2 linked regions of the Mus musculus genome follow. Each later gene encodes a partner of the first gene's protein in a complex. Links are inferred from orthologs where the notes say so. Each region holds a gene or a part of one and is shown in the gene's direction. Other genes may lie near its edges.

Region 1 (9,191 bases):
AAGTCTGCTTGCTTAAGGTTTCACATGGTTCCGTTTGGCCTCGAATTACAAATCCTTGAGCTCAGATTCCCCCTGCCTCTACCTCCAGTGTGATAGGATTAGAGGTATTTACCATCATACCAGATTTAAAAGTGCTGGTGATTGAACCCATGGCCTCACAACCAGGCAAGCACCATCCCTTAGGAATTGCCCTACCGCTGAAAACGTAAGAGACCTCATTGAGTACCTACCGGACATGACTGTCTGTCTGTCTGTCCTATGTGCGTTGAGGTATCTGAGCCCTGGGATTCCCTGGATTTCTTTGCTCCTTACAGTGGAGGTGGTGTAGGTGCAACTCTGGCCTCTAGCCACTAGATGGTGAGAGCATCCGTCCACCAAACATGTCTCCTCCTAGTGGGCAGAACCTACCAGGCTGAGGACCACAGCCTGAATTGCTGGAGGCTTGGTGCCTATTAGGAGGAGGTGACTATGTGCAGCAGTGAGCATTCTGGAAACTAGGCTGAAAGGGCTGGGTGAAGAGTGTCCTTCCCCTAACAGAGTCATAGCAAGATTTTGGCTGGGAAAATGGGTGGCTGGAGGATGCCAGTAACATCCAACAACATCCAAGATCCTGAGTGGTCCATTGAGGGTGGAGGGGCGGCATCACTTAGGTGCGGCGTGTGTTTGGTGATGGATAGCCAGGTTTTTTTGTTTTGTTTTGTTTGAGTGTCTTGTTTCTGATAGGAGCTAATCTCTCATCGTAACCAGGAATAAGGTGGGAATTGGCGCCTGCATTGCTGTAGGGAGACTTACAGCAAGCCCTTGCTGGGCTTTGAGAACCTTTCTCCCTGTGAGATGCCTAAGCGGGTGGTCAAGAATCTCAGTTCTTACCCTGTGGCAGAGAAAAAGGAACGGGATCCCTGTGGTGCTGTGGTGGTGGGGGGGGTAAGGGCGCCTGAGCTTCCACCAAGGCCTGTTGAAGGCCTCGGAAATCTGCCTAGGGTAGAGAGCCTGCTTGTTAGGCCTGACCTTTCCTCCATGCAGGACTGTGGGACTCCCCTTCTCCCATGACACTCAGAACCTCCTATTCTTTCCGAAACAAGCTTTTTTTTTTTTTAAATGGTTTGTGTGTATGTGTGTCTATGTGTGTGTGTAGGTCAAAGGACTACTCACGAGTCAGGTCTCTCCACCACATGCATCCTGAGAATTAAACTTAGGGCAGCTTCCTCAGTGACAAGATTCTCTGCCACCGAGGGACCTTGCCAGCCTTGAAACGAACCTTTCGATTGATTTGCCTTCTGCCCTGGCTTAGGGGAAATTTTTTATATTACAGATAGGTACTAGCATAGGTAGGTGTGGTAACCCAAACTTCTAACCCCAGCATTTGGAGGTAGAGGAGTAGAGAATTCAAGGCCAGCTTCGGCTACATCAGACCCTGTCTCAAACAAAACAGACCAAGCAAAGCGTGCCCTCCCAACTTCGGGGGATCGTGAGCAGGAGCTTTCACTTTGGTCGTGAGCTTCCTATCAGTGAGAGCAGAAAGATCCACGGAAATTGGAGGTTATGATTTTAAGAAGTGTTAGCATTCTGGCAGAGCTGTTTCTGGATGTGATGTCTGAAGGAAACAGCCAGGATCTCCCGCAAACCCCGAGTTGGTGGTAGGTTGAGTGAAAGATGATTCTAGAACTAAACACAATCAGAGAGCAATTTCCCAAGGTCTGAGGCAAAACTTACTTCTGTAAACCGGTGTCCCTGTGAAGCTCCTTGGTGGTGGGTGGATGGTCTTTCTCCGAGGTGGCTAGGCGATGCTCCTAGCTTCTCTACAGCCATGCTCCCTCTGGTCCATCCTGAAGTGAAGAGGGTTGTGGAGTGCAGCTACCCAGCTCAGGAGCAGATGTAGACAAAGCCTTATGACTGCCCTTCACTGTGGGTGTTCCCATGGAGGGGGGGGCTGTTTGTTAGGTTTTACAAATGCAAAGTTCTGCAGGCCAGTTTAGCAATTTACTGGGGCTGGTAGGTAATCTGCATTTCTTTAGAGTGATTGGTTACACCCTCAGAGTTTTCTAAGACAATTGAACTGCCCAGAGCTTTCTACTCACCCCGCCCCAAACCCCAGAATTCTCCCCATTGAAGAAATCAGCGAAGAAATTTCTGGAATTCACCCTACTGAAGAAATTTCCATATTCTTGTGGTTAACAAGCCCTACCTGGCACAACTGGAGAGCTTGTTTCTGATACTGTTGTCTATTGGAAAAAGATCTACAGCCGGGCAGTGGTGGCGCACGCCTTTAATCCCAGCACTTGGGAGGCAGAGGCAGGCGGATTTCTGAGTTCGAGGCCAGCCTGGTCTACAGAGTAAGTTCCAGGACAGCCAGGGCTACACAGAGAAACCCTGTCTCAAAAAAACAAAAACAACAAAAAAATCACCAACAAGTAGGCATACCTCACAAAGCTAGTAAGGAGAGTAGAGCGGAACCGACCTTTTTTTCGAGACAGGGTTTCTCTGTGTAGCCCTGGCTGTCCTGGAACTCACTTTGTAGACCAGGCTGGCCTCAAACTCAGAAATCCTCCTGCCTCTGCCTCCCAAGTGCTGGGATTAAAGGCATGCACCACCACTGCCCGGCGGGAACTGACCTTCTTGAGGCCCTGATGACATTTGTGTCACCGGCAGCAGCACAAGCCACCCTGCAGCTGCTTCCTGTTAGAACCCTGCTAGGCACATCTGCCTAGCATGGACAAGTTCAGAGTTGCTTCTATACCCAGGGCAGCCAGGGTCTGATGTATGTCAGTCAGGCCAGCCAAGGGACTAGCCAGCCCCGCTTCCCTGTAGCTCTCTCACTCTGGAGCTCTAGTCTTCAGAGGAGCGAGGTGCTCACTAAGCTGTAGACCTTCGCCTCAGAGGAGATGGCAACTCTTCTCTTCATTCTCCTTGGCTTCTTGTAACCCGAAGCTTGCTCAAGATCTGGAATTTCCAGGTGTTTCTCTGGGTGATCTGGATCTAAGAGGATACCAAGGAATGTGGCCATTGGTGGCAAAGCCACCCCCCCCCCACCATGTTTGGTGTGTGTTTTCTAAGTACCCTGAATGGGGTATAGTACAAGCTGGCACCTCTGCAGCTGCTACCATCTTCCCTTTTTCATTTTATTTTTTAAAGATTTATTTAATCTAAGTACACTAATGCACCAGAAGAGGGCATCAGATCTCATGATCTGATCATGATGATGGTTGTGAGCCACCACGTGTTTGCTGGGATTTGAACTCGGGACCTTCGGAAGAACAGTCAGTGTGCTCTTAAGTACTGAGCCATCTCTCCAGGCTCCCCCCACACCCCCAATCTCCTCTTTATAAGTAAGTTCAGTATACTGTGCAGCTTCTCCACTGACTTCCCGTCCCGCCCACAGCCCTCCAAACTTAAGCCCAGGTCATTGCAGTCGAATAGTGCCCCTGAGCTACATCCCCAGCCCCCAACTTAACGCTTTTAAGAAAACTTTAAAAAGCCAGGTATGGTGGCGCATGCCTTTAATCCCAGCACATGGGAGGCAGAGGCAGGCGGATCTCTGAGTTCAAGGCCAGCCTGGTCTACAGAGCAAGTTCCAGGACAGCCAGGGCTACACAGAGAAAGCCTGTCTAGGGAAAAAGGGGGCTTAGACTTGACCATTGTAGGATAGGAAATTCAGCATTGTTTGCTATCCATGAAGGGCTGCGCAGACACATCCAGAATGCAGGCTAGGCTGGGCCGAAGGTGTTAACAGAAGGTTCTCTGGCCTGGGGCTGAATTCCTTTGTTAAATGTCTAGGTCGCCCCTCCCAGTGGCTTTGTCAAAGGGGAAAGTAGATTTGGTGTGCACACCTTTTGACAGCCAGTTGCTTTTGCCAAGAGCTCCTCCTGGGGAAGAAGGGCTGCAGTTAGGCAGTCTCCATTACCCACAGCCTGGGCCACTAGTTAATTACTGCTCAGCATGGGGGCTGGGTCTTGCTCTCTTCTTCCCCCAGAAGGCTTGTGACTTCTCCATCTGGGATATTAGTTTGTGCTCAGTAAGGCATAATTCATAGCTGTTGCAGAGACCATGCTTGTCCTTGGGGCTCCAGGGGCCCTCTAAATTCCTTCAGGCAGTCTGCCTCTGCTGGGTTTGACCTAGAACTTGGCCTGCCATGTGAAGTCCCAGCTCAGGAAGCCAATCCAGTTTCTGCTTGTTTCCACCCTGCCTGGCTGTAGCTATAGGTAAACCGCCACCGTCGTCCACTTCGGCGGGCAACCAGTCTCCCCCAGAGACACCGGTACTCACCCGCTCAGCCACCCAAGCACCCGCGGCTGGGGTCACCGTGGCCGCCGCCACCACCAGCACGATGTCTACCGTCACAGTCACGGCACCGGCCACCGCCGTCACGGGAAGCCCGGTGAAGAAGCAGAGGCCGCTCTTACCGAAGGAGACTGTCCCAGCTGTGCAGCGGGTCGTGTGGAACGCATCAAGTAAGTTTCAAACGTCCTCCCAAAAGTGGCACATGCAGAAGATACAGCGCCAGCAGCAGCAGCAGCAACAACAACAGCAGAGCCAACAGCAGAGCCAGCAGCAGCAGCCTCAGTCTTCCCAGGGGACGAGATATCAGACCAGACAGGCTGTGAAAGGTACCGCGCCCCCTTCTGTTCTCTGTGGCGCCCACCCCCTTTTTGCCACACTAACAGGAGAAAGGCCACCCTTGTTGAATTTTTCCCCTACATCCCTATGTGTCATGGTCACCGCAGGCCTTATCATCCCATATGGAATTATTTTTTTAAAAACTGGCTTGCTAGCACTATTTGCCTGATTTTTTTTTTTAAAGATTTTTTTTTATTCTGTTTTATAAGTGATACGTGTTTCCTCTTTACAGAGGGGACAGGATATGTGTGTAGAATTCAGAATGCTCAATGTGGGCCCATTCGCTGTCCCTGTCATTGTCCACCCTTCTGTGACAATCATTTGTTGTCCTTATGCCTCTCCCAGTGCATGCCTATACGTTTGTTTTTATACCATATAATATTATACCATAAAATATTGTCTTTTTTCTTTCTTTCTTTCTTTTTTTTTAAAGCAAAAATGGTACCATTCTTGATTTTTTTTTTCCCCCTTCCCTCCCACCCATCAGCATGTTTTAGAGGTCTGTCTGTGTCTTATCCTTTTGGACTGCTGCATAGTATTCCCTAGTTCATTTAAGGTGTTCACCTGCTGGTGGGCATTGAGGATGCTTTTAGTTTTTCCCATTGTAAGATATGCTGCAATGACTATGTCTTGTGAGCATCTGGGAATCTCCAGGCGTTTTGTGGGAAAGTCTTTAGAGTGTGAGGAATCGGTAGGGGGGACAGTTTCCTTCCAAACCCCTGCCAAGGTGAGCCGGCCTCTGAGAACTCAGTGCTGGAGGCCAGTCTCTGTCCTGCAGCTGATGGCTCCGCTCAATTGTCTGAACCCAGCTTCAGGAGCACTAATGTGGGTCTGGTTTCTTGGGGCAAAGGAGCTTCCTTCACACTCGCTCTGTCCTTCCCCCATGCTCCCAGAGCTCATCCCAGTGAGGTAACAGGTCAGTCACAGGGACACTTTCAGGGACTCAAGGCCAGGTGGCTGGAGAAGGCCTGAAAAGCTGGACAGGTCTAGAGTGAGCTCTCAAGTACTGCAGTGGACATGGGATTAGGGCAACCCCTTGTTGGATTCTGTTTCTATCTAAGGCTGTCTCCTGCAGATAGGGTAGGTGGCTGCAATGCCAGGACCTGGTGGCAGTAGGGTCCTCAGCTTCCAGATAGTCCTGTGTCAGGTTGTAAGGCTTATTGCAACTGGGAAGGGCCAGTTTTAATCAGTAAAGCAGCGGAGACAGACTTGACGCAGTGGTTACTCCCTCAACACGCCTTATATATAGCCTGCTGGGTCAGACTTTGATCAGCAGAGGCTCCTGTAACCACCAGTGATTAAAATGGCCAAGTAGTGGCTTTACTCTCTTCATACCACATTGCCTTTTTAGCCGCTGTGGCAAGGACTGACTTCAATGAGCGTGGTACTGTTTTGCCACCAATTAAAACGAAAGGCGTTGATTTTAATGAGCGCTGTGCTGACGGATCGGTAAAGTTATTGGGTCACGGGTATAGTTGCGTAGAATGCTCACCCAGCATGCACAGAGCTCCGGGTTAAGTTCCCAACACTGCAAACACCAAAGATGTCAAGGGCTGAGATTTTAATGAGTGACAGACTCTTACTCCCTTCAGGCAGGAAGTGATTTTAATTAGTAGGACACTGGGTCTGTCATACCTGAGGAAGGGGTCCAGGGTGACTGGTGCAGGGGTGGCTGGCACTTTCAAAGGTAGAAAGGGCTCAGGCCTTGTAATGAAAGCCAGAGGGTCTGTTTGTGAAGCTGTCCGGGTTTGCCAATGAATGGCCAAAGTTCTTACCTTCTCATAGAGATGGAAAGACAGAGGTTTCACGTCTTCAGATGTTGGCTGCATCCAGCTGTTAAGTCCTTCTGGTAGCCTGGTGCTTCAAGGCTCGATTAAGTCCCCTAAACTGAACAGCCTTGAGTTAGCTCCTGAAGATGATTGCTTAGGTCTTTGTAGTGCAAGGTTGGCGCCTAGTGGAGAAGAGAGCTCAGAGGAGCCAGGCTCGAGCTTGGGCAAGGTGAGACACTGGCATTCGTAGTTCAAACGCTGGCTAGGGGAAGCTATAAGAAGACTTCCCTCCCTCGCCCCGGCTGTTTGCTGGGATGTGCTTTTCTGTATGGGTGGAGTGACCCGACCCTTTGCTTTCTTAGCTGTCCAGCAGAAGGAGGTCACCCAGAGCCCATCCACGTCCACCATCACGCTGGTGACCAGCACACAGCCGGCAGCCCTGGTCAGCAGTTCGGGCTCAGCAAGCACCCTGGCGTCTGCAATCAATGCCGACCTTCCCATTGCCACCGCCTCGGCCGACGTGGCCGCAGACATTGCCAAGTACACCAGCAAAGTAAGTGGGTTGGTGCTGCGGCTGGGGTGGGGTTGTTGGGGCCCTGGCTTGGTAGTTTGTAAAAAAGGCTAAGTTGCAGGCTTTAACAAAGGGTCTCCAAGGACAATTTACATTTGAGTCTTGAGTTAGATAGTTTCATCTATCATGGCTAAACCAGGGTTTGGGATACTGCTACACAAGTGCTGTAACCCTGCATTGTGTCTCCAGCGCCATTCTGTTTTATTTTGAGGCAGGGTCTGCCTCTGGAGTCTAGGCTGGCCTTGAAGAGCTCCTAAGTATCTGAGATTGCAGGTGTGTGGCTACCATCCCCCACCTGGCTTGGCTGTCTTGGAACTTGGCTCTGTAGACTAGAGCTGGCTTTGAACTCACAGAGATCCGCCCCCCTCTGCCTCCTGAGCGAGGGGACTAAAGGCCTGTGCCACTGCCACCCAGCAGGTTAGTTAATAGAAAACTGTGGACTGGTGGTGCGCCGATTTCTCTTGGGGAGGTGAACACTGGTCTGTTTGGCTTGCCCAGAGAAGGGACGCTGAACCAGAGTGAGAGACTCCATTGTCACACCAGCACGATGACATGCCAGGGACTTAAGAGGGGCTCCTGGGTCCCCTCCTTAAGTCATCCACTCTCTCGGGCTCAGGGTTCAGTCCCTGCTGGTGGCCTGGCATGTAGGATGGCCTGCTATGTGTAAACTTGGCAGACTCTCTCAGTTGGGCAAGTCCTTGAATGAGCGCGGTTGACTAAAACACGCACCTTGGTGTTGTGGAGGCCGCTGCTGTGTCCTGAGGGTGGTAGTCGGTGGTAGTCGAGGTATGGTGGTGACCCCTGGGGCTCCTTTGGCTGTTGGCTTGTCCCTAAGGATGGGGCTGATGCCTGGGTAGTAGGTGCTTGGTGCTGGGTGGAGGTACTGAGTCCATCACTGTGAGCTTTGCGTGGGTCAGCTAGTCGCCTGCTTATCGGGTTTATCACTGCCAGTAATTTAATAGCTAATGAGAAACACTTTCCTATTTAGTAAATGGTTGTGTGAACAAGAGCAATTTGTCTTTTACTAATGAGCCAATCAGGAGTGTTTACTCATTAGAGACCAGCAGTTCAAGCTATGAGGGTGCAGGCGAGAGAGGGGTGAAGAAGAGGGTTGCTCTGCTCTGTTTTCTTTCTTTCTTTCTTTCTTTCTTTCTTTCTTTCTTTCTTTCTTTCTTTCTCTCTCTCTCTTTCTCTCTCTCTCTTTCTCTCTCTCTCTCTCTCTCTCTCTCTCCCTTCCTTCCTTCCTTCCTTCCTTCCTTCCTTCCTTCCTCTCTCTCTCTCTCTCTCTCTCTCTCTCTCTCTCCCCTCCCCCCTACCCCCCCTCCCCCCTGCCCCCTCCCCTTCTCCCCTTTTCTTTTTTGGTTTACTTAACTCTGTGTCAAAAAGTGCTGTGTACCTGAGCCTGGTCTTTAATCCTCCCGCCCTGGCCTCTCCTGAGTGCTGGGTTATAGGTGTGAGTCATTCCGCCCAGCTTTGGAATTTCCTCTTTATTTTTTATTTTTATTATTATTTTTTTTTGTTTGTTTGTTTGTTTTTTTGAGACAGGGTTTCTCTGTTTAGCCCTGGCTATCCTGGAACTCACTTTGTAGACCAGGCTGGCCTCGAACTCAGAAATCCACCTGCCTCTGCCTCCCAAGTGCTGGGATTAAAGGCATGCGCCACCATGCCCGGCACTCTTTATTTTTATATGTATGGGTAATATGGGTATTTTTCCTGCATGCAGGGTCAGTGTTAGTGTCTGGGTCAGGGTGCAGGTTAGACAGAGTTAGGATCAGGGTTGGGGTTAGATGGAGATGGGGTCAATGTTGGGGTTAGACAGGGTTGGGCTTAGACAAAGTTGGGGTTAGACAGAGTCGGGGTCAGGGTCCAGCATATCATACCATATGACAGAGACAGATCTGTAATTTGAGTTATGGATGGTTGTGAGCCACTGTGCCAGTGCACAGGACTGAACCCAGGACCTCTGGAAAAGCAGCTAGTGCTCTAACCACTGAGCCATTTCTTAGCCCTCCTGATTGGAATCAATACCTTTTTTTAAACTAAAAATTTTCTTTTAATTTACTTTTTTTTTAAACTTATTTATTCATTTTATGTATGTGAGTACACTGTAGCTGTACAGATGGTTGTGAGCCTTCATGTGGTTGCTGAGAATTGAATTTTTAGGACTTCTGCTCTCCGCCGTCAGCCCCGCTTGTTCTGGCCCAAATCTTTATTTATTATTATACATAAGTACACTG
Region 2 (8,266 bases), on another chromosome or scaffold:
TCAGGACATTGTCCCTTTGGTTTTCCAGGGTGACCAGCGGGATGAAGAGGAAGAGTCCCAGATGAAGAAGTCGGAGTCAGAGGTGGAGGTGAGAGCGGGGGGAGTGGCAAGTGAGACGGATGGGCGGGGCTGGCTCAGACTGCTAGCCCCGCCCAGCTCTCTAACTCTTCCCTTGTGCCCTCAGGAGGCGGCTGCCATCATTGCCCAGCGGCCTGATAACCCACGGGAGTTCTTCAGACAGCAGGAACGAGTGGCATCGGCCTCTGGTGGCAGCTGTGACGCGCCTGCGCCTGCACCCTTCAACCACCGACCAGGTAGTCCTTGGCCCCCTCCTTGCCCAATCAGTACTCCTCAGACTATGGCCCTAATTCCCTCTGGGACTTCTTCTTGGAAAAGAAGCCTTGCCCAAGGAAGGACTCCTTGGAGAAGGCAAGACCCCCTTCAGTGTGCTTCCACCCCCAGCTTTCCAGGTGGTGGCACCCCCGGAGGGGCTGGGTTGGGGGGCACTGTCAATGTCCGGCATTGGCTGAGTATGGCTGGTACTCAAGGCCAGTTGGGAAGATTTGGTGAAGCTTCAGACACACTGCTGGTGTTGGGAGTTTCCCTGCAGGGTTGGACTAGGTCTGGCCCGAAGGCTTTGGATGCATGGAGGGTGGGATCTTGCTCTGTCCTGCAGTGTGAGCATCCTGGAGCAGTGGTTCTCTCGGCTCGCTTGTTTGGCTTCTCCTTGTGTAGCTTCTGCCTCCCCTTGGAAGCACCCTTTCATTTCTTGTCTGCCGGTGTGAGCATTTGCATCTTCTGTGTGCTTGGTCATGTTGCCGGGGTTCCAGGAGCATGGCAGACTAGACTCATTCGTGCTGCTACACAGAGGCTGGCTGTTGTGTGCCCATGTGTGTATCTGGTGCTGGTTGGTGGGAGGCATCAGATGGCTTGAGGCTGTGGCCCAGCTTGGCTGAATGTGCACCCTGGCTGAAGGTGGCTTGGACATCTAGGGCTGGCCCTGGGGGTGGGTGAGGCCTTGGGGCAGGGGTGGGGGAGACTGACCCTCTCTTGTCCTCTGTCTCTTTCTCTGTCTGTCTCTCTCTCGGCAGGTCGTCCGTACTGCCCTTTCATAAAGGCATCGGACAGTGGGCCTTCCTCCTCCTCCTCTTCCTCCTCTTCCCCTCCACGGACTCCCTTTCCCTATATCACCTGCCACCGCACCCCAAACCTCTCTTCCTCCCTCCCATGTAGGTAGCAGCCCCAGGCCTCGGCAGGGTGGGGTAAGGAGGGCCCCGCTTCCCAGCAGCCCCCTCGCCCTTTCTCCCCCAGCCTGACTGCCGACTGCTGGTGTTTGTCCCCAGAGCAGGTACTACCTGCCTCTTGTCCCTGGCCCTGTAGGGCACTGGCCCCCAGCGGCCTGGTTCACAGGGTCTGGAGCAGCAATCTGGCCCCTGGGGGGCCTGGGGAGCTCACAGCCCCCACCCACACTTGAGACACAAGGTGGATAGTCCTGATTCCACCTGGCTCCCACTTCCTCACTCACTAGCCTGGGCATTTGCTCCGCAGGCAGCCACCTGGACAGCCACCGGAGGATGGCACCCACTCCTATTCCCACCCGGAGCCCATCTGATTCCAGCACAGCCTCTACCCCCATCGCTGAGCAGATCGAGAGGGCCCTGGATGAGGTCACATCCTCGCAGCCTCCACCTCCACCTCCACCACCTCCACCAACTCAAGGTAAGAGAAGGGCCCCACCGGTACCTATCCTTCCATCAGTCTCTGGGTAGGGAACCCTAGGTTGCCACAGTAACATAGTTCAAAGAACTTGGACCAATCCTCACCAACACTACACTGCTAAGGAAGTGGCTATAGCAGAGGAGCGCCCTGGTGTTGCTCTTAGACAATGCCTTCTCTAACCCTCAGTGGCTCATCACTGAGGAATGTGGCCTTCCTCCTGGTGGTTTAAAAAAAGTTGGTGAGGGCTGGAGAGATGGCTCCGAGGTTAAGAGCACTGGTTGCTCTCCCTGAGGTCCTGAGTTCAATTCCCAGCATCCACATGGTGGCTCACAACCACCTATAATGAGATCTGGCACCCTCTTCTGACCTGGAGGCGTACACGTAGGCAGGATGCTGTATACATAATAAAAATGAATCTTTCAAAACATAAAAATGAAAAGAGTGGGTGAAAGGATAGGGAGGTACAGCTGTAGTAGAAGGTATCTCAAATTTACCCAGAAGTCTCAAACTCGTCACTCTTCAGTGGGTGGACATGGTACACTGGCCCAGGGCATCTATCCTTCCCCAAGGGGGCTGACTGTATTGTGTCCTTCATGTGCACTGCCACAGAGGCCCAGGAGACTACCCCAAGCCTGGATGAAGAGCTCAGCAAGGAGGCCAAAGTAACAGCAGCTCCTGAGGTCTGGGCTGGCTGTGCGGCAGAGCCCCCTCAGGCACAGGAACCTCCCCTGTTGCAAAGCAGCCCCCTGGAGGACTCGATGTGCACAGAATCTCCAGAGCAGGCTGCCCTGGCTGCCCCTGCGGAGCCTGCTGCCTCTGTCACCTCAGTAGCTGATGTCCATGCAGCTGACACCATTGAGACCACCACTGCCACTACTGACACCACTATTGCCAACAACGTCACCCCTGCCGCTGCCAGCCTCATTGATCTATGGCCTGGCAACGGGGAAGAGGCCTCAACACTTCAGGCTGAACCCAGGGTGCCCACACCACCCTCAGGTGCTGAGGCCTCCCTGGCAGAGGTGCCCCTGCTGAATGAGGCCGCTCAGGAGCCGCTGCCGCCGGTAGGCGAAGGCTGTGCTAACCTTCTTAATTTTGATGAGCTGCCAGAACCTCCAGCCACCTTCTGTGACCCAGAGGAGGAAGTAGGAGAAACGCTGGCTGCCTCCCAGGTCCTAACTATGCCCTCAGCTCTAGAGGAGGTAGATCAGGTGCTGGAGCAGGAGCTGGAGCCAGAACCTCACCTGCTGACCAATGGAGAGACCACTCAAAAGGAGGGGACCCAGGTGGGACAGGGGGAGCCTGGTGGGAGGGACAGTATTCAGTGCGGAGGGGGAGGGCGGATTGCTTGTAGATCCATATTGAGAAGCAGCTCTATGCCACGCCCCTTTCCATCTCTGCCATTCGTTCCCTGGCAGGCATCTGTGTTTCCCCAGCAACCAAGGATTCCAAGAGTGGTTGCTGGGGAAACAGGCTCAGGCCTGATAGATCAGCTGTTGTCCTGACAGTTGGGTCCTGGTGACCTAAGCTTTTATTAAACTAACTAAATAAACAAACAAAACAAAACCAAATAACAAACCCCAGCAGGCCAGCGAAGGATACTTCAGTCAGTCACAGGAGGAAGAGTTCGCCCAATCAGAAGAGCCATGTGCAAAGGTTCCGCCTCCTGTATTTTACAACAAGCCTCCAGGTAGTATCCCCGGGTGAATGATGGGAATTCTGGAATTCTGGGATGGGACTGGAGGGCTAGGGGTGTCACTAGAGTCGGTTGGCACAGCTCTTAGAGGTTGGGGGGCGGGTGGCACCACTGATGGATCTACCCAGCCTTCTCTCTTCTCTCAATATATCCTAGAAATCGACATCACCTGCTGGGATGCAGACCCAGTTCCTGAAGAGGAAGAGGGCTTCGAGGGTGGTGATTAGTAGCGGCGACTGCCCCCTGGCTGCCCTCGCCAAGGCTGCCTACCTGCAGTGGCCTCTGGCCAGCCGGCTTGCAGTGCCAGCATTAGCAGCAGCCCCGCCTGGCTCCCACTCTGGATTCCGGCACTGGCCGGGGACCTGTCTGCTTCCTTACCCACAGGGCCTGACTTTTACAGCTTTTCTCTTTTTTTTAAAAGTTGATAGACTTGTACAATTGACTGGTTTTCCTCCCGTTGGTAGTTGAAACAATGTTGCAGATTCCACCCCCTTCCTGCCCAGACCAGATTGTAGCTTAGTTCTTTCTGCTCAGCTGACCAGGGTGGAGGCCTCACCTTGTTTGGGACCTGGTGGGGGTCGGGGGTTCTGGTGGGAAAATGTTCCCCCCATCACTTTTCCTAGTTTTATGTTTCTTGGAAAAAAAATCACTTTGTATTCTCTATCCAGGGCTTCAGATATTTTGCACGAAATTTAAAACATGGCAATAAATGGCTCGTGGGCTCTGGCTCCCTGGGACCCTTCCCCTTCTCTTTACCCTCGCTGCTTGGTCAGAAGGAATTATCAGACCCACCTGGGGCCCCTTGGCTTCCCGCCCTCTCCTGCCGGGCAGGTCCCAGGCTGGAGGTCCTAGGCATGACTCAAGTCAGGGCTTATTGATGGGACCCAGTGGTTTGGGTGGCCCCTCCCCAATTCTTTCCTCTCTGCTTGGGTTCTTTTTCACATTAACTTTTTTTTTTTTTCTAAGCACAAACTTATGTAATGGGTCGTGCTCATGTCTGTTAATAAAGAAATCCAGATCCCTTCGGGCCTGCTGCTCTGGGCCTCCAGGGGTTGATCTGGCGTGGGCGCCGGCCCTCACGACCAGCTTCCCAACTCCTGTCACCTCCGAGGCTACAGGGGGCGCACAAAAACAGGTTAGGAGGAGACGGAACATTAAGCCCTTGAGAAACAACCTTTGGTTTCCGAACACCAGCCCTCTGCTCTCAAGGCCAGTACTCGGGCACTTTCCCTAAAGTCCACATGCCCGGTCACTAGCACCTTGTGCTTAAAGCAGCTGGTATCCCCCTCCGCTTGTACCAAAGCAGATCACACACCTTTATTATCCTCAAAATGTAACAAACAGGGTAAGAAATCCCTCCCTCCCCCCCACCCCTCCCTGCAGTCCAAGGGAAGCATTTAAAAAGCCTCGCAGTCAGGCTAGGAGTTCGCCCGTGGGGCTCGGGACGCCGGGCGCCCCTCTATACGGCTGTAGTCCTCCCGAACAAGGGGATGGAGACCGGCAGACGCCAAGCTCCGTGCTCCAGGGGCTCTCGGCTGCTGAGCTCTGAGTCGGTCCAGCTGGGGAAAACCCGGCGGCTGCGTTCCGCCTGCAGACAGAGGGCAGGGCAGGGTGCGGCGGGCCGCGGGGCGCTGGGAAGATGCAGCGCCGAAGTATAGCCCCGGTCCAGGAAGAGAGGCTTGTAACTCGGAGGCGGCTGCTCCTGCTTCTCCGCGCTGTCGCGGCGGCTCAGAAAGGGCGTGACGATCTTGCGGTAGAGGCCGCGAGTGTCCGTGAGCACCTCGCTGTAGGGAGGCGGCGGCTCGGCCATCAGCACCGCCTCCTCGTAGCACGGCGGCTTAGACATGTCCGATTCCGCTGCGGAACGGGAAGCGGGCTGGTGAGGATGAAGCCGCCGGCCCGGGGCAGAAGCCTCGCCCAGCCACCACCACCCCAGCCCGCTTCTCCCGGTGCTAAGGGTGGGGCGCCTCCGGCATGGGCAGGGAGCGCTCGCCTGCCGAAACGCAGCCTTACCTTGGCGCGGATAGCTCCAGGGCCGGGGCGGCACGGCGAGGTGCGGCGGCGGTGGGTGCGGCAGTGCGTGATGGTGTGGGTGCGGGTGCGCGTGCGGCGGCGCCGGCCCGTGGTGCAGCAGCGGGTGCACGTGCACGTGCGAGTGCGCGTGCACAGGCGCCTCCAGACGGCTGCGGTGCGGTGGCGGCGGCGGCGCCAGGCCGGGAGGACTTCCAGCCAGGCTGCCCTCAAGCTCGAGGGGCTCCAGCTCCAGGGCACGCAAGTTCTGCTCCCTTAGTCGCTCCTCCTGGCGCCGTTTGAGGCGGCGGCGCAGGAAGCTGCAGAAGCAGCAGAGCAGGACGATGAGACCCCAGATGAGCCAGAAGCCGGCGAAGCAAGTGAGGAACGTGTAGGTGCCCTGGGACATCACCATGGCTGCGGCACAAGCGGCAGGTCCTCGGCGGCTCTACTGGACGCTGGGCTCCTCGGCGTGGCCCCGGGGCCGCGCCACGCTCCCAGGTGCCGCCAGTGTCACTCGGGGACCTGCGGCCGGGGGCTGCCTGCGGCGGGGCTCAATAGGCGCACATGCCGGCGAGGGGCAACTGTGGTTCCCGCTCCTTCCCATGGCGCCGGCCGGCGCGGGCCTGCTTCACCCGGGGCCGCGAGCGACCTGCGGGGCAGACACAGGGCTCAGCGAGGCTCGCCAGGGTCCTTGGTGACTCCCGGCCTGCATCCGCGTCCCGCGCAGGGCCGGGGATGCCTCCTCGGTGGGAACCCCCGCACTCCCCGGGGGCCGGGTGACGTCACCCAGGGATGACGTCACGCCCCGAGGTTTCCCCGATAGGGTTTCCCCCGAATCGGGACCCGGCGACCGCGTGCTGACGCGACCCAAGAGAGGCCAGTAGGGGGCGCGCGGAGTCCGCCCGCGACCCCAGGGTCCAGCTTCGAGGTGGTTTCGGAAGCTGTGACTGCCAGGACGCTGGAGTAGTCTTGGCGCGGTGTTTTGGGGGCGAGGGAAAGGGCAGTGCACCTCCAGGAGGCCCACCAGCAGTCCGCTTGGAGCCCAGTTTCTGCCCTGCACTGCTTCCAACTATTAGCCACGCCTGAAAGAGATTGGCGAGTGGCTGCCACTGCATGCCACCAGCCCGGTCTTTGTCTGTTCCCAACACCGTGTGCTGGGCGTGGGCCAGGCCGGCTTTCCTTCCTCTAGGCGCCTCTGCCAGCCGGATTCTAGCCCCAACTCGACTTCCCACACCACCTACTCATGCGCAAACCCCACTTGGCTGCACCTCTCTTACTTCCAACCCAACCCCCTTCCTTCCACTAATCCCTTTCCCTCTTTGTAAAGTGGGGTAGAAAATTAGATTTGTCTTTCAGACCCACCTAGCCCTACAGTCAGGACAAACCCTGGTCTCTGGGTCCACCTCCTATCACAGCAGGGGGCGACATCTCTGCATGGGTGGGGGGCTACAGGGGTTGGTGGGAGAGAAGTCTGGAGCCCTGACTGCTTAATTAAGGCCAAGCAACAGACGGGTCACCATCCCCACAGAACAGAGATGGGCCTTTCTCGAATACCTTCTACCAGCAACTTACACAACCCTGTGGGTAACAGTGTCTTTCTAACTCACAGCTGGGAGCTGGAAGAGCAGTTAACTGCACAGACCGCAGCTCTAATTTGAACCTAGGTCTAGTCACCAAGCGCTGGCCCACTGAACTTGTGAGAAGGAAGGTTTTCCAGGAGCTTCAAGGAAATGCCTGGCCTTGGCGCACCCACACTCACTCAGCTTTGGTGCCCGAAATCAGCTTAAGACTCGGGCTGAAAGGGTGCCAGGCCTTGGCCACCCCATCTCCCCAGATGGCTCCTGTCTGACTCTCTGGCTGCCTTCAGCCATGTGTCACTTGGTGCCCGTGCCAGTCCTATCCTCCTGGGCCTGCGTTCCAGAGCAGACAAGGGTAGGAACAATAGCTCTGCCCGCCCCCTTGACAACCCCACCACGAGGCTGCCATGGTGATGCAGCCCAGATAAAAACACGATGCTGCCAGTCACTGGGAGTTAATTAAATCTGTTGTTCTCTTTCCTTGAGCCCTCAGGAACAGGAATGTTCTGAAGAAATAGGCACAAGCTAGAGGTTTCAAGCAAAAGGGCAGAAACAGTTCCGGGTTAAAGAAGGAATTTCTGTGGCTGGAGTTAATGATGCTTGCTAAGTTAGAAGTATCTGCCAAGAATCAGGGGTGACATGGGTCTGCAATGATGAAGATGGCTCGAGCCCAGAAGATGGGCTATCATGGACAGCATGATGTCACGGTCCCTTCTAAGAGTATATAAGGGGAAGCTTTAGAATAATGTCAGGGTCATCAGAAACTGTCCTTTCTTTCCAGGTAATTGTCATTTTTGAGACAGGATGTCACTATATAGTCCCAGCTAACTTAAGAGCAATCCACAGGCCTCTGCCTTCCCATTACTGGATGAAAGGCATGAACCACCACCACCACCACCACCACCACCACCACCACCACAACTGGCTTCATGCAGAATCTTAAGGGCATTCACATTACCCTGTCACTTCTGGTTGCACTGTTCTCTGAGAGATGAGGTGACACGCTCAGAAGCAAGAGCAAGCCTCGTCTCATGTGGCACAGCTAAAAGAAGGCGCTAAGGTTTAGCCTGTATCTCAGTCAGTCACTGCCCACTTCCCACGTGGCAGGCTGTGGATGAAACTCTGTTGGTCAGCACTGGGCACCAGAGACCCTGAGAACCCCTGGTCGTTAGGTTAACTAGTCGCCAGACTTCCTGTCCAGGCTCTGGCCCACCTGTTGTGGTGTAGCTCAGGGAGTGGGGAAGAAGTACAAGATGGAGAG

The links.
Region 2: the proteins of Zmynd8 (region 1) and Dbn1 are in contact, whole or in part, in a crystal structure (PDB 5Y1Z), measured with the Homo sapiens proteins. The link is inferred for Mus musculus from reciprocal best matches to the Homo sapiens genes ZMYND8 and DBN1. Residues at the interface, in NP_001350670.1 of Homo sapiens: Gln167, Pro168, Gly169, Thr170, Gln236, Ile237, Val240, Lys243, Ile244, His247, Trp269, Leu285, Gly287, Phe288, Phe307, Gly309, Gln310, His311, Asp312, Ala314, Thr335, Lys336, Ser337, Ile338; in NP_004386.3 of Homo sapiens: Met1, Ala2, Phe6, Ser7, Arg10, Leu11, Leu14, Tyr17, Glu18, Asp92, Ala93, Cys96, Ala97, Ala99, Ser100, Lys104, Glu107, Phe108, Gln110.

Annotation. Positions count from the first base shown.
Region 1 is NC_000068.7:165,802,932-165,812,122, reverse strand, and holds part of Zmynd8 (protein kinase C-binding protein 1), read left to right. Parts: intron 1-4,193; coding exon 4,194-4,604; intron 4,605-6,745; coding exon 6,746-6,936; intron 6,937-9,191. UniProt on the Homo sapiens protein: Chromatin reader that recognizes dual histone modifications such as histone H3.1 dimethylated at 'Lys-36' and histone H4 acetylated at 'Lys-16' (H3.1K36me2-H4K16ac) and histone H3 methylated at 'Lys-4' and histone H4 acetylated at 'Lys-14' (H3K4me1-H3K14ac).
Region 2 is NC_000079.6:55,469,599-55,477,864, reverse strand, and holds the end of Dbn1 (drebrin), read left to right. Parts: intron 1-28; coding exon 29-88; exon of another isoform or gene 89-184; coding exon 185-314; intron 315-1,091; coding exon 1,092-1,229; intron 1,230-1,548; coding exon 1,549-1,719; intron 1,720-2,328; coding exon 2,329-3,005; intron 3,006-3,303; coding exon of another isoform or gene 3,304-3,306; coding exon 3,307-3,409; intron 3,410-3,571; coding exon 3,572-3,642; 3' UTR 3,643-4,437; downstream 4,438-8,266. Other genes in the region: Prr7 (proline-rich protein 7), read right to left, coding at 4,875-5,272, 5,429-5,840. UniProt on the Homo sapiens protein: Actin cytoskeleton-organizing protein that plays a role in the formation of cell projections. Required for actin polymerization at immunological synapses (IS) and for the recruitment of the chemokine receptor CXCR4 to IS.